Linked DNA regions of Caenorhabditis elegans. The protein of the gene in region 1 interacts with the protein of each later gene in a biochemical or structural test. Each region holds a gene or a part of one and is shown in the gene's direction. Other genes may lie near its edges. The genes, in order: bro-1 and rnt-1.

Evidence for each region.
Region 2: of the proteins of bro-1 (region 1) and rnt-1, one has a biochemical effect on the other in vitro, tested with the Caenorhabditis elegans proteins (2 studies listed by BioGRID, with this or other methods).

Annotation. Positions count from the first base shown.
Region 1 is NC_003279.8:5,184,902-5,189,976, forward strand, and holds bro-1 (Core-binding factor subunit beta homolog bro-1), read left to right. Parts: upstream 1-2,024; 5' UTR 2,025-2,083; coding exon 2,084-2,248; intron 2,249-2,680; coding exon 2,681-2,746; intron 2,747-3,487; coding exon 3,488-3,715; 3' UTR 3,716-4,339; downstream 4,340-5,075. Other genes in the region: slx-1 (Structure-specific endonuclease subunit SLX1 homolog), read left to right, coding at 1-69, 399-474, 532-687, 742-933, 1,147-1,239.
Region 2 is NC_003279.8:5,781,877-5,789,131, forward strand, and holds rnt-1 (Runt-related transcription factor rnt-1), read left to right. Parts: upstream 1-1,934; 5' UTR 1,935-1,964; coding exon 1,965-2,033; intron 2,034-2,765; exon of another isoform or gene 2,766-2,786; intron 2,787-2,930; coding exon 2,931-3,048; intron 3,049-3,304; coding exon 3,305-3,424; intron 3,425-4,225; coding exon 4,226-4,299; intron 4,300-5,275; coding exon 5,276-5,392; intron 5,393-6,001; coding exon 6,002-6,060; intron 6,061-6,112; coding exon 6,113-6,231; intron 6,232-6,283; coding exon 6,284-6,513; 3' UTR 6,514-6,734; downstream 6,735-7,255. UniProt on the Caenorhabditis elegans protein: Transcription factor. Binds to regulatory DNA sequences in order to modulate transcription; negatively autoregulates its own expression, perhaps dependent upon CBF beta homolog bro-1.

The DNA of each region.
Region 1 (5,075 bases):
ACTGGTCTCAAAATCTTTGAAGGAAAAACAGTTGAGAAAAGAGAGAAAAGAGACTCCGTTCGCATTTCAGTAAGGAAATATATTCCCAAGACGCGAAGTTTTGCAATTTTCGCGTCAATATACGGTACCCGGTCTCGAGACGATAATTTTTTGTAATAATAAGAAAGGTGTGCGCCTTTAAAGAGTACTGTAATTTTAATAATTTTTTGCTGCTGAACTTTCATCGAGGCTTCATTGTATCCAATAAAAATACCTTTTATTATCGAAAACTAAAAAAAAACTTTGTCGTGTCGAGACCGTGTACCGTATTTTGGCGCAAAAATCACAAATTTTAAGTCTGGGTAAATACCTTTAATTAAAGTATAATTAATTAATTAATTAAAATAATTTAATTTCAGACTCCGTATCGCCTGCGAACTGATGAACAGTTCCGCATTCTGCCGATTTGCGCTCACTTTTCGATGGCTGATTACGGTAATTTTTCCCTCGAACATTTCAGAAATTTCGAGATTTTTTCTCTCAAAATTTCAGACAGAAGAACTTCCATTTCCAACAAGCTGTGTACCACCGGATCACACAAAACTTCGTTTTGGAAAAGTGAAGAAAGAGATGAGCCTGGTGCCATCGAAACGAGAAGATTATTTGGAAATGGGAGAATGTAGAATTTGTGGAAAAGATATTGAGAAGGTGAGAATTTCATTTTGAAATTTCAAGAATTCAAGAACATATTCTTTTTTTCAGCTCTGGAGTCTTGTCAGATGTATTTCCGCAACTTGTCCATCACATTTTCACTCCAAATGCTTGTCGGAAAACGGTTTGAAACTGAAAAACGAACATGTGGACCACGTATACCCGCTGAAAGCCAATTGCCCAACATGTGGACAATTTTATTTATGGGGAGATATTATCAGAGAGCAACGACGGATTATCAAGGTTTTCGTTTCTATAAATTCGAAAGTATATTTTTTGTAAAAAGCATTGGCTTCAGTCAAACGTTGTAAAAAGTCAACAAATTTTGACCCTCTAACACTACTAACTGTAGATTTACGCAGATTGTGTACTACCCGAGGAGAATTGTGTATTTTTAATTTTGCAGCTTTTTCAGCTCAAACACAAAGTTATGTAAAGCCAAAAAACTAATTCCAGATCTCCACAAAATGCGCTGAAGAGTTCCAAAACATGGTTGTGCGGAAAGAACTCCCTCATCGAGAAATCAGTCCAATTTCGTCGAAAAAATAACGATTTAAATATTTCGATTATTGTACTTACTCACTTGCTTTATTGTCAGATCACTTATAACTAACATTCGATTCGAATAAAAATGGTTTACTGGAAAAAATGTGGTTAAGGTTGAAATAATACTAGTATCAGAAGTGATCGGAATATGATTTTTTGAGACTAGCAACACAACACTGAGAATGGGGAATTGCACAACATATTAGACGCGCAAAATATCTCGTAGCGAAAAGTGCAGTAATTCTTCAAAGGACTACTGTAGTACTGGTGTCGGTTTACGGAAATCATTTATTAAGCGATGAAATATTTGAAGAAAAAACAAAAATGGCAAAAAATACGAAGAAACTAAAGAAAATGGAATATCGCTGTCACTATTCGAGAAGAAATAAATTTTGAAAATCGCGCTCGTAAATCGACACAAATGCTACAGTAGTCGTTTGAAGAATTTCTGTAGTTTTCGCAACGAGATATTTTGCGCGTCAAATATGTTGCGCTGTACGCATTCTCAGAATTTTGTGTTCCCGTAATATGGCAATTCGGACTGGGAAAACTGAAGTCTGAAAAAAGTTGGAACGTATTAATTGAACGTTTGACAAAAATGGGTTTCCAGCGAATAGCATAAGTATGCATTTGTAGTTTTACTTTTTAACAATTGTATTGTTATCAACAATTTGAAGGAACTACATTAATGTTTCCCAACTTTACCTCCTGTTCATCTTTCTCCCGCACACCATTAATATTCTTGTGACTCCGCCTCCTGCCACCCGCCTGTCGGGTTTCCGACAACATTTGTCGGTGAGCGCCTATTTCTTGTCCACCTTCTTCCACTTGGTGAATATTCTCAAACATGAAAAGAACGACAACGGACCAGCAATCATCGTTCCAAACTGATTATTTTCTGACACAACTTTCACATTTCACAGAAGCCAAATTCTCTCTATTCGAGCATGCTCCACTTTCAGAACGACGGGAGCGGTTTAGGGTTCATGTGGAGAGAGATGAAATGCCCTTGGTGAGTGTTCCAAGGAGGATTTGAAATCTAAAATTCTTATTATCAAAAAAATTTGCTTAAATATATATTTGTTTTCTTATTTTCTTGAGTTGGATAAACCCAAAAAATTTCACAGAAAGATCTTTTTTGAAAACTATGTGGTTGAGTCTGAAAAAAAAGTCTCTTTGATCTTTTAGATGTTTCCGTTATTATTTTGACAGTAGTATTCTGAGCTGGTGCTGATAATTCCTTCCGCATTTCATACTCTCTTATCACTAGAACCTACAACAACATACACTCTTTGCCTATTTCAACACATTCCCGTTACGTAGAGTTATCAGATTGAAGAAGTAGGTGGAAAAGAAATGGATGGAATGACACTGTTAGATGTCATCTAACAAGGACAAAGATCCGACAAGATTACAATCCACATCATCGTATGTGTGTTTTCAGACTTTCTGCAAGACGGGAATCAATATACCTGTCAAGTTGGAATGGTCCCAAACTAATGGAAATGAGGTGGGATTTAGTAAAATGTTGGAATTAACTTCAATTAAGCATAAATAAAAAAAGTATCAAATATCATAGATAACATTTCAAAAATTTTTTGAAATTTTTTATCTGTTCACAAAAGGTGGTTCACAATCAGTTTTGATATCTAAATCATCTTTGTAACCACATTTTCATTAGGGCCTAGAAATCGTTCTTAGTGAAATTTTTTGTAGAAAAAATCCGTTCCGTGAAACCCACAAAATCGAGATTTTAAACTTTCCAGGGATAAAGCAAAAAATTTGAAAATTGGTAAGCGTCTTCCAAGATCGAAGAAGAAAGTGCTTTGATTTTTGCTAAATTTTGAAATTTCAATTGAAACCAAATCAAAATTTAGCCCAAACATTTTATTTAATTTTTCAAAATTTTCAATCAAAGTTTTGGCAAATTACCGAATTTTCGAAAAATTTGAATTTTTTAAGTATTACTGCAGATTTGAGCCCTACAATGTTAGTACACAAATGTTAATAATATACGAAATTGATGAAAAAACATTTTTTGGTCAACTTGATGAGATATGATAGGTGAACTGCTATTTCGTTCACAAAATTTCAAAATTTTATTGAAAATTTTTACTATATTTAATATTTGGTGAATTTAACGCCATAGCACTGGTGATACTCCATTTGCAGAGCCTAAAAAAGTACATCAAAATGTGATTAATTATTTATTAAAATTTTCCTTGAATCCTCAATTCGGATAAATTTGCAGATAAGTTTCCGTTCTCGGCCACTGGTTTTCAATGGAATTTGGGTAAAAGTCATTGGAGCAATGAACTCAGAATCACTGGAGGGACGTGTTCGATTCGAACGATTTCAACGTGAGAAGCGTGATCGTGTGATTTCAGAAACCTTCGTGTTTCCAGAAGTTGAGGAGGAGCCAATTGGACTGACGGATGCTGAAATTGCTGCCCTTCGACGCGATGGTCTTCCCATTTGAAACGGAGATTCTTTTAACAACGGGTTAAAATATGTGACAATCTGTATGTAATATTTAGAAACAGATCTATGTGATAGTTTTCGAGTTCCAAAAGTTGGCAATTTTTGAGTCACCTTATTGAAGTCTTTATCATTAGTAAACCTAGATAGGTTTGCTTTTGATAAAGGTAGTAGTTGGCAATTTCGAAATTCTACCGGGAACTTAACAGCTGTGATTCACCACTTCTATCATATCAGAACTTTGAAATTTATAGAAGAATTTTTTTCTTCTGGAAAATTTTTGAGAAAATCAAAGCGCGTTAATTTTAAAAATTCCAAAAATCTTGCGAAATGTTTAAACTCCCTGAAAGCCACTTAAACTTTTAATGTATAGTTCTTCCAAAAAAAAAACAAATCTAATTTTGAAATCTGAGGGTAAAATCTAAGCCCTTCCTAAAATAAATCCACTGCCTGTTTATTAACATAACTCCCACCCCCCCCCCCCCCCTGTGATATGTTATGTTCAAATATTATCCTCTCAATCTCTTCCACACTTCCGTTATATATTTGCATTTTGTTGTGATCTCCTTGTGTTCGCTTTTCTCTCTTTCATCGAATTGAATCAAATAAAGTTGTAATATTTATGTGTTAATGTCGGTCCACAACACTTACCAACTTGTTACAACTCGCAGGTCCTATGCTTCGTGAATTGAACGGGGACAGAGGGATGACATTCAAATGTACATAAAATTAGGAATGTTGTAAATCCATTCTCAACTCGCGCAAGTATTTCTTTGAGGATCTGCCGACAAGGGCAAAAAAAGCCGTAGAATCATCATAAAACATTAAACGTATTTGGGTACATGTCGATATTAAAATTGGAAAGCCAAATATGATTGTTAGATGTAGGTAGGCAAATGTGCCTACGTGGTGGAAAAGTCTGAAATGAATAATAAATTTTCTACTCTGAATGGATGAATTTTTTGTTTTGTATAAATGAATGTTTTGTATACGCTCATGTTTTAAAAAAAGTTTGGACTTCTGCGTGGATAACGGTAATTCCATGAGGACTGGAAATTGGTTTTTTTTTTAAGTAGACTGAACGAAGAATCATAATATTTTTTACCCTCAATGGGAAATATTGTTTTTTCACGCAAAAAACTGCACTCGCTCTCCCCACGAACGGAAAATTTTCGAACGGAAGTTGTGCAGTGAGCCATGCGCCTTTAAGAGATACAGTAATCCGATCAAAGTTGTTTTCAAGCCATTTTTTGTTTTTCTTTTGCTCATTCAGGATTTTTTACACTTTCAACGTGTTTTTATTTAGATTTCAAGGAATATGTTTTCAAAATAAAACAACGAGAAAAATTTAAGCATTTTTT
Region 2 (7,255 bases), 600 kb from region 1:
CATTTACACTGTACTTAGCTATTTAATTCTTTAATACTATCTCCGAAAAACCGCAATATTTCCAAAATCTCCCCGTTATCCCGTTTCCCTGACCCCTTTCACCGCTCTCCATTTCACTTTCGCTCATTTCATTTTTTGCGGTCCTTTTCATTCCCCCACCTACTCAAAAGTCTACCTCATCTTTTCTTCATTCTTTTTTCGCTTTCAATTCATCGTTTTCAGTACCTGTCCTTTATCTTTTCGCCCCATCTACCGCCCGCCAACACCTTTCAAGCCACATACGCCCGCCCCCAATGTCATTTTGAAATTTACCTCTGATTTTCTGAAATACTCGATTTTCAACAAATAATTTGTGACAAGTTTGAAGTAAATATTTAGTTCAGAAAAACAAACTCACAGTTAATAAGTCAAACATGAGTTTCAGCTATGAACGAAGCTTTGAAACCGGAAATCCAAATAACTATGAGTTTTCTTAAAGTTATCATATAAAATATTTAAAGAGTCATCCTATAAGTTTTATAAGAAAAAATATTTCTAGTACCATCCCCTTACTCAAAATTACTTCTGTTAGAGCAATAAGAAAAATACCGTAATTTCATTGTTTCTTATCGCGAAAACTCGAATCTGAAATAACGAGAAATGGTGGACGATTTTGGAGAAATTATTTGATTACCTAGTGAAAAAATATTGTACGTTCTTACAATTAAGTTGTCTCCTGGGCATGTTTTGTTTGGTAATTTCCGGAAATTCCGATTTCAAAATATTTTCTAATTTGGTAACTGCCAAATTGTTAAATTACCACAAATTTTAAAATATTTAGAAAAGGAAAGGCAAAATCCAGCAACTTTTGAAAAGAAACAAAAATTGAAATTGTAAAGAATTAAATAAGATGCAAATATATTCCAACTCTATCACAACTTCCTTGTAGGTTATTAAACTTTTTTAGATTCATAAGTAAATGTTTGTCTACTTGGAAAATTGTTGAATATATAATTTTCTTCATTTTCTTATTTGAAGTCATTCATAAACTTTATTTGAATAGAGTTATCAATTTTTGAGAAGTTGGTAGTTTAAAGAATGTGTAAGCAAATAAAATAACTTCCTTTTTTCTCTGGAATTCAACAATCTTTTTCCCCTCGTTTCGTTCCGTTTTAGTAATTTTCAAATTCTTTAACCAATTTCATAGGTGTGTCTTCTTTGAACATATAAACACCCATTTTGAAACTTCGTTTCTTTCCAAACCACACTTCCGCTTTATCAGTTGAAAACGGAGCACAATCGTCTATTTATCTAGTTTTTGCGGTTGCACGGCCAAAAGACATCATTGGCTCGTTTCTGGCAATCTTGTTTTTATTTATTTGTTTACTAAATGTTATGTTAAAATTTATTCGACGAAAAAAATGTTTTTCTTTGAATTTTATGGATCAAAATATAATTTTAAGGCGGAGAAGGATCAGTGGAAATTTTGTCAAAAAACATATATGTATACTCGAAATGTTTTTTTTTTAATCTGAGTATCCAAATAAGACACACTAAAACGTTTCAGATTTGTCAGTTTTTTTTTCAGTCTTCTGACAGTTTTGGAAAAATACCTCGAAACATTTGGACCTTTCGAGGAATTCAGTATTATTGCATTCCTATAAAAAATAAAACTCGTAGAACATTTTTTGGTTGACTTCCAAAATTATTATAATGAGCATTTGTCACTGTTTGTCTGAAAATAATAAAATGCACTATGATATTTGGTCACAAAAAGCACTAGTAGTAATTTTAAATAATTTCCCTACTCCGCCTTGAAACCCCCATAAAAAATGTACATGAAGCTTTCAGATCTCTAATTTTTTTTTGTCATTATGATTGCAAGCAATAGTTTCATTGTTCTTGAATTTTCAAATACCTTCTATCACTACTCAATTAAATATGTTCATTTTCAGTGCTGGAAGTATTCTGGGAAACTAACAGAAATGACCAACGTCTTCCATCACGTTCGGAATTTTATAGAGCAACAACCTGCACCTGCTAAAACATTAGAGGTATGTATGGCACTTGAACACCTGTGATTCTTTATAAAAAAACTTCGAAGTCTTAGGTTTTCAATTTTTAAACTTTCTTAAGTCATTTATTCGGTTTTCGGAAGAAAAATCGTTTTTTAAAACCTGAAATATTGATAAACCTGGATTTTTTCAATTTTTCCTAAAATCATAATCTAGTCACTTTAACTTTAAAATTGTACCTGTATATCACAATAATTTTGAATTGAGCATTTCGATTCGAAATTGGGAAATTTTGGTTTTGTTACAGTGACTTTTAACAATTGTTCCTAAAATTTCCAAAAATCCGAACGTAAAAGAACTTACAATTTATCTAGTCTGTGAACGGAATTTCTACAGTTTTTTTTTAATTTTCGTTCATAACATTAGAAAAAGTTGAGTTAATTTTCCCGGCAAAGTTTTACAAATTTAAATGTACTTTTTTAAAAATTTCAAAACTCTTCCTTTTCTTGAGAGTATACGGTAGTTCATGACTCTAGGGTATTGATTTTCCATAGTCAATTATGAGCAGATTTTATCAAATCATCTTAAAGATTTACGAGACGGTATGAAATGAAAAATAAAAATTACACTACACCAAACTACAACTTATAGCAACATTTTTACATTTTGTTTTTGAACTTTTTTTTGCAAGACATAGAGTATATTGATTTTGCATCGGTTGGAAATTGAGTAATCAAATGAATACAGTAATCTTCATTCTCTTATCATAAAAGTATTCAGCTCAAACCACAAGCATTTCGATGATTTTGTTGAGTTTTAGAGGTTTCATTGAAATTGACTTTGTAATTATCAATCGAAAAATATTACATTTTATATAATGACGAACAAGAGTGTAAAAGAATTGTGAGATATTTTTACAAAACAATAAATTTTCAGAAATCATCATCTCCAAACATTTTATACACAGCTCTTCCGAAGCATTGGAGATCAAATAAATCATTTCAAGAACCATTTTATGTTGTATTACTAACGCCTGTTCCAGATAATACAGAAGGTAAATTATTGATTTTTCTTTTGATTCACTTTCGTATTTATATTTTTACTTTTTTCAAAACTCTCTACGATTTGAAATAAGTTTGGAATGATTTTTTTGGAATTTTGCCTTCTCTTGAATTATTGTTGAAATCATGTGATTGAGCATTTCTGAAAATGATAAAACAAACCTTATATTTGCATTGCTTTATGTTGAAATTTATATTTCAAAATAAATAAAAAAAGCAATTTCTTCACTGCTCAAATAATATTTTCAGTATCAATTTGGGCTGGAAATGACGAAAAACCATGCGAAGAAGTTCGAAATGAGAAAGCAAAAGTGCATCGACAAGTGGCAAAATTTAACGATTTGCGGTTTGTCGGGCGGTCCGGCAGAGGTGAGTACTGTAGCCAAATAACCGGTTGGCGCGGGTAGAAAAAAGGGGTAATGACCACATATTTGTGGGTATTAGTACAAAGTAGTCAACTGACAAAGAAGTACTGTATATGTAACTGCAATTGGTAGGTAAGTAGAGAAAAGTGGTGAGAGGTAAGAATGCGGGTAGAAAAAGTATGACACTTGGGAGACAAAAAAAAATGAAACTTCCTAAAATTACTAATAGTAAATTAAATAATTTAATTCCCTGATAAATACATTTCATATTCTACCTATTAGTTTCTATCAATCTATCAATTACAACGTTATGGGCTTTGAACTTCATTTTTCCTAAATTTATCAATAAATATAAAATAACCGATATGTAAAATTCCAAAGTTGAGCTCTGGGAAGTGCATGGAAATGCACGGTTTATTATAATAACGTATGGTGCATGTAACTTTTAGTTGTATCAAAAAACCAAAAAATTAATTTAACCTCTTATAAATCTATTGATTTGTGTTTTCTTATCATTTTTTCCACTTCTGTCTAAACATTTTCTCATTTTAAAAGCGCATACATTAACGGCCGTGTTCCACATTAAAATAATAAAATTTTCCAATAAACTGATGATTCCACCTGAGTAGTCTGACCGGAGCCATTATATTATCCGGAACATCAGTGTAACATAAAAATGCGCGACAAATGCCCGCATTTAATGGGATACTTTTTGTGAGGTGGCGGCGGCGGCGGAATGGAGAAGAACATCGTCGGCTCATAATAAAACTGCACATTTTCCAATCGTTTTTTGTGTCTTTTGCAGGCCGAAAATTCCATTTGACAATCGTTATACATTCGGCGCCGATGATGGTGGCCACCGTCAAAAATGTGATCAAGGTGAGTTTATCCGAATGGATTGTGGGAAGTTTTGTGGAATTCTAAGGAGAAGGGAATGTATTTATATGATATCATGTAGATTTTAAATGCGCCTATAGGTAATTGATAATTACATTGAGTAAGTATCAATCTTTTTTTGAATTAATTGGATAACTTATGATTCAAAAATTACCAAATATTTCCCTACCCAGAACCGAAGTTGTGCTATTTTTGAGGCAAAATAGATTTTTTGGCTGCTACAACTCGCAAATGAATAATACAAATTAAGGGTCTCGAAACGACTGATTTTTTTGGAATAAAAAGGAGCATGCACCTCTCAAGGGTACTGTAGTTTTACATCCACTCTAATTCTTATTTCTCTTCGAGCATCTGATTTTACAAAAAACAACGAAAAATCGAAAAAAGTTGTGACGTGAGAACTACATACTTTTTAATGAGCGTATTCCATTCTATAGCTAACATTTTAAAACATTTCCGTCGTGTCGAGACCCTGTAATTGCCACTCAAAATTTTGGAAGTCGACCAAAAAAAGCTTTATTCTTTTAAATTTTTTGTTGGGGCAAACATGAGAAATTGCTCAGAATCTCCCAAAAATGTTAGGAAATCAAAAAAAATTTTAAGCGTTTTTATGATATCAGTTATTTTATGAGTACAAATTTATACAAAATTCCCTCTTTAACTACTCCATCTTTAAGTTTTCTAAAACAATGTATAGATTTACCGCACATCAACTACCGTACTCTCTTATCTGATTATTAACCACGATGCGTCACCTGGTACACCTCTTTACAAATAAAAACTAGTTTTCAGAAAGCCTAGTAATCGGTAAATATTCTTATCAATTGCAACTTCTTATGTTGCATTGAGTTTTGGTTTATTTATTCAAATTTATTTTTTAAAAAAGGAAGCCAAATATGTTGGAATGGGAAGAAATGATGTCAGTTTAATACGATAAAACTTATTAATTTAATTATAGGTTACGGTTGATGGACCAAGGGATGCGAGAATACCAAAACCACAAGGATCTTTGAAACGGCAGGCAGAACAGCAGACAATATTCCCAAATGATATTATCCGAACGCCTGGACCACCGGTACGATTTTTTGATTTTTGTACAAACAAAATTTTGTATTAATTACTTAAGTATAGGGTCTCGAAATTACCAGAATTTGTTGAATAAAGCCTGAGAAAAAAAGGATGTGACTTTAAGAAGTACAGTAGTCTCCTTTTTCTGAAATCGAGGCAAATGAAAACGCTCCGCCCCCTCATGTTGGGTCTCGTTAGGTATTGGCGGGAATATCAGAAATTCAAACGTTTTCAATAACTTTTGCTGATTTCACCTGATTTCGAGAATTAAATTGTTTCTACTCTCAATTGACTCTAATGATTTTTACTGTGAAATAATGTTTTGAAAAGTACAGAAAAGTGAATAAGGGTTTTTATTTGATTATGAATTTTATGGCATCAGTTTCGATATAAAATTCATCCGATAATACCTAACGAGACCCAGCGTTTGGGGGCGGAGACTTTTGGCGTTGGAGCGCGCTCACACCCCCAATTTCAAAATTCACATTTTTCTGCGTCCCCAATATAAAAAATTCATTCATTTTTGAAATGTTTTTAATTTGAAAAATTCTGCAAAAAACTGTAGAAGAACATTCATGAAAAAATTGCAAACAATTTTTAAAAATTTAATTTTCAGATGCCAATGACAATGATTCCACCACCATGGTTTCCTTTACCAATGACTCAAACTTTCCCGTAAGTTTTTCGAATTTCACATTATTCATAAAATAATTTTTATATTTTTCAGCCCATCATTTTTTCCGCTTATCTCTCCAGGACCACATCCTTCTATCTCAGCTGCACTTTGGAAAATTCACAGCGAATCGATGAAAACTCCGATTAAACAAAAAGTTGAACAGGAAAATGGTTAGATTATTTTTTCGGAAATAAATATATATATATAATTTATTAATTGCAGTATCCCTTAATACGTCTACATGCCTATCATCTCCATCAATTTTTATAACTCCAACTTCTGATGATCGGAAGTTAAAACGACCATCTTCTCCTCGTTCAATCACAAAATCATCAGAAACTTCAATTAATTTAATTCAAGAAACTCCGGAATCTGTAGAATCAAAAAGACGAAGAAATGTATCAATAACTTCATCGAATAGTTCTTCTCCGACTATTTGGAGGCCTTTTTAATCTTAAAAATATTCATTATTTTACCACAACACACCAAATTTCTCTCAATTTCCAAATCTCAATTGTTTCCTACCTCTTCAGTCACTTTTCTCAATATTCTCGTTTTAAAACACGTTCAACGGGTTCATTTAACGGTTTTCAACCTTTTTTGTATAATAATACAAGTTTTGATCTAAATCGGAATAGATTATCATCATATCTAATAAAGTTTCAGGTTTGAATTCAACTAGACAACAAGTCGTACTATCGAAAAAATTTTATTCGAAAAAAAAATTAATGCGCAATCTGCGAGAAAATATGCAATTGGGGAGGATGTGAAAGAGTACTTAAGATGAATAATTTTATAAGTGATAAAAAAGATAAAACGTTACCTTCGATTCTTCTTGTATACATTAAACGAGAGGGAGGTAAAACGCAATGCGGAGAGTTTAAATCTACAGATGGGACCAAGAAAATGGCATACGAATTGATTGCGAATGACAAGGAAAAATGGCATCAGATTCGGATAAGAGTTGGGAGATGGATGATTAGAAACACAACAAAATAACAAAATTGATTAAAAAAACAAACAATTAAGAAGGCCCAAACTAAACGCTACAGGGGAAAACAAAAAAAGATGTTACAGATGCAATATGATTCACAGGGAGTTTTCTCATTCATAGTTTTCAGCAAACATAAACTACGTTGATTATTTCTACAGAACTACGAGCGACGGAACTTATATAAAATATTCGAATAGTAA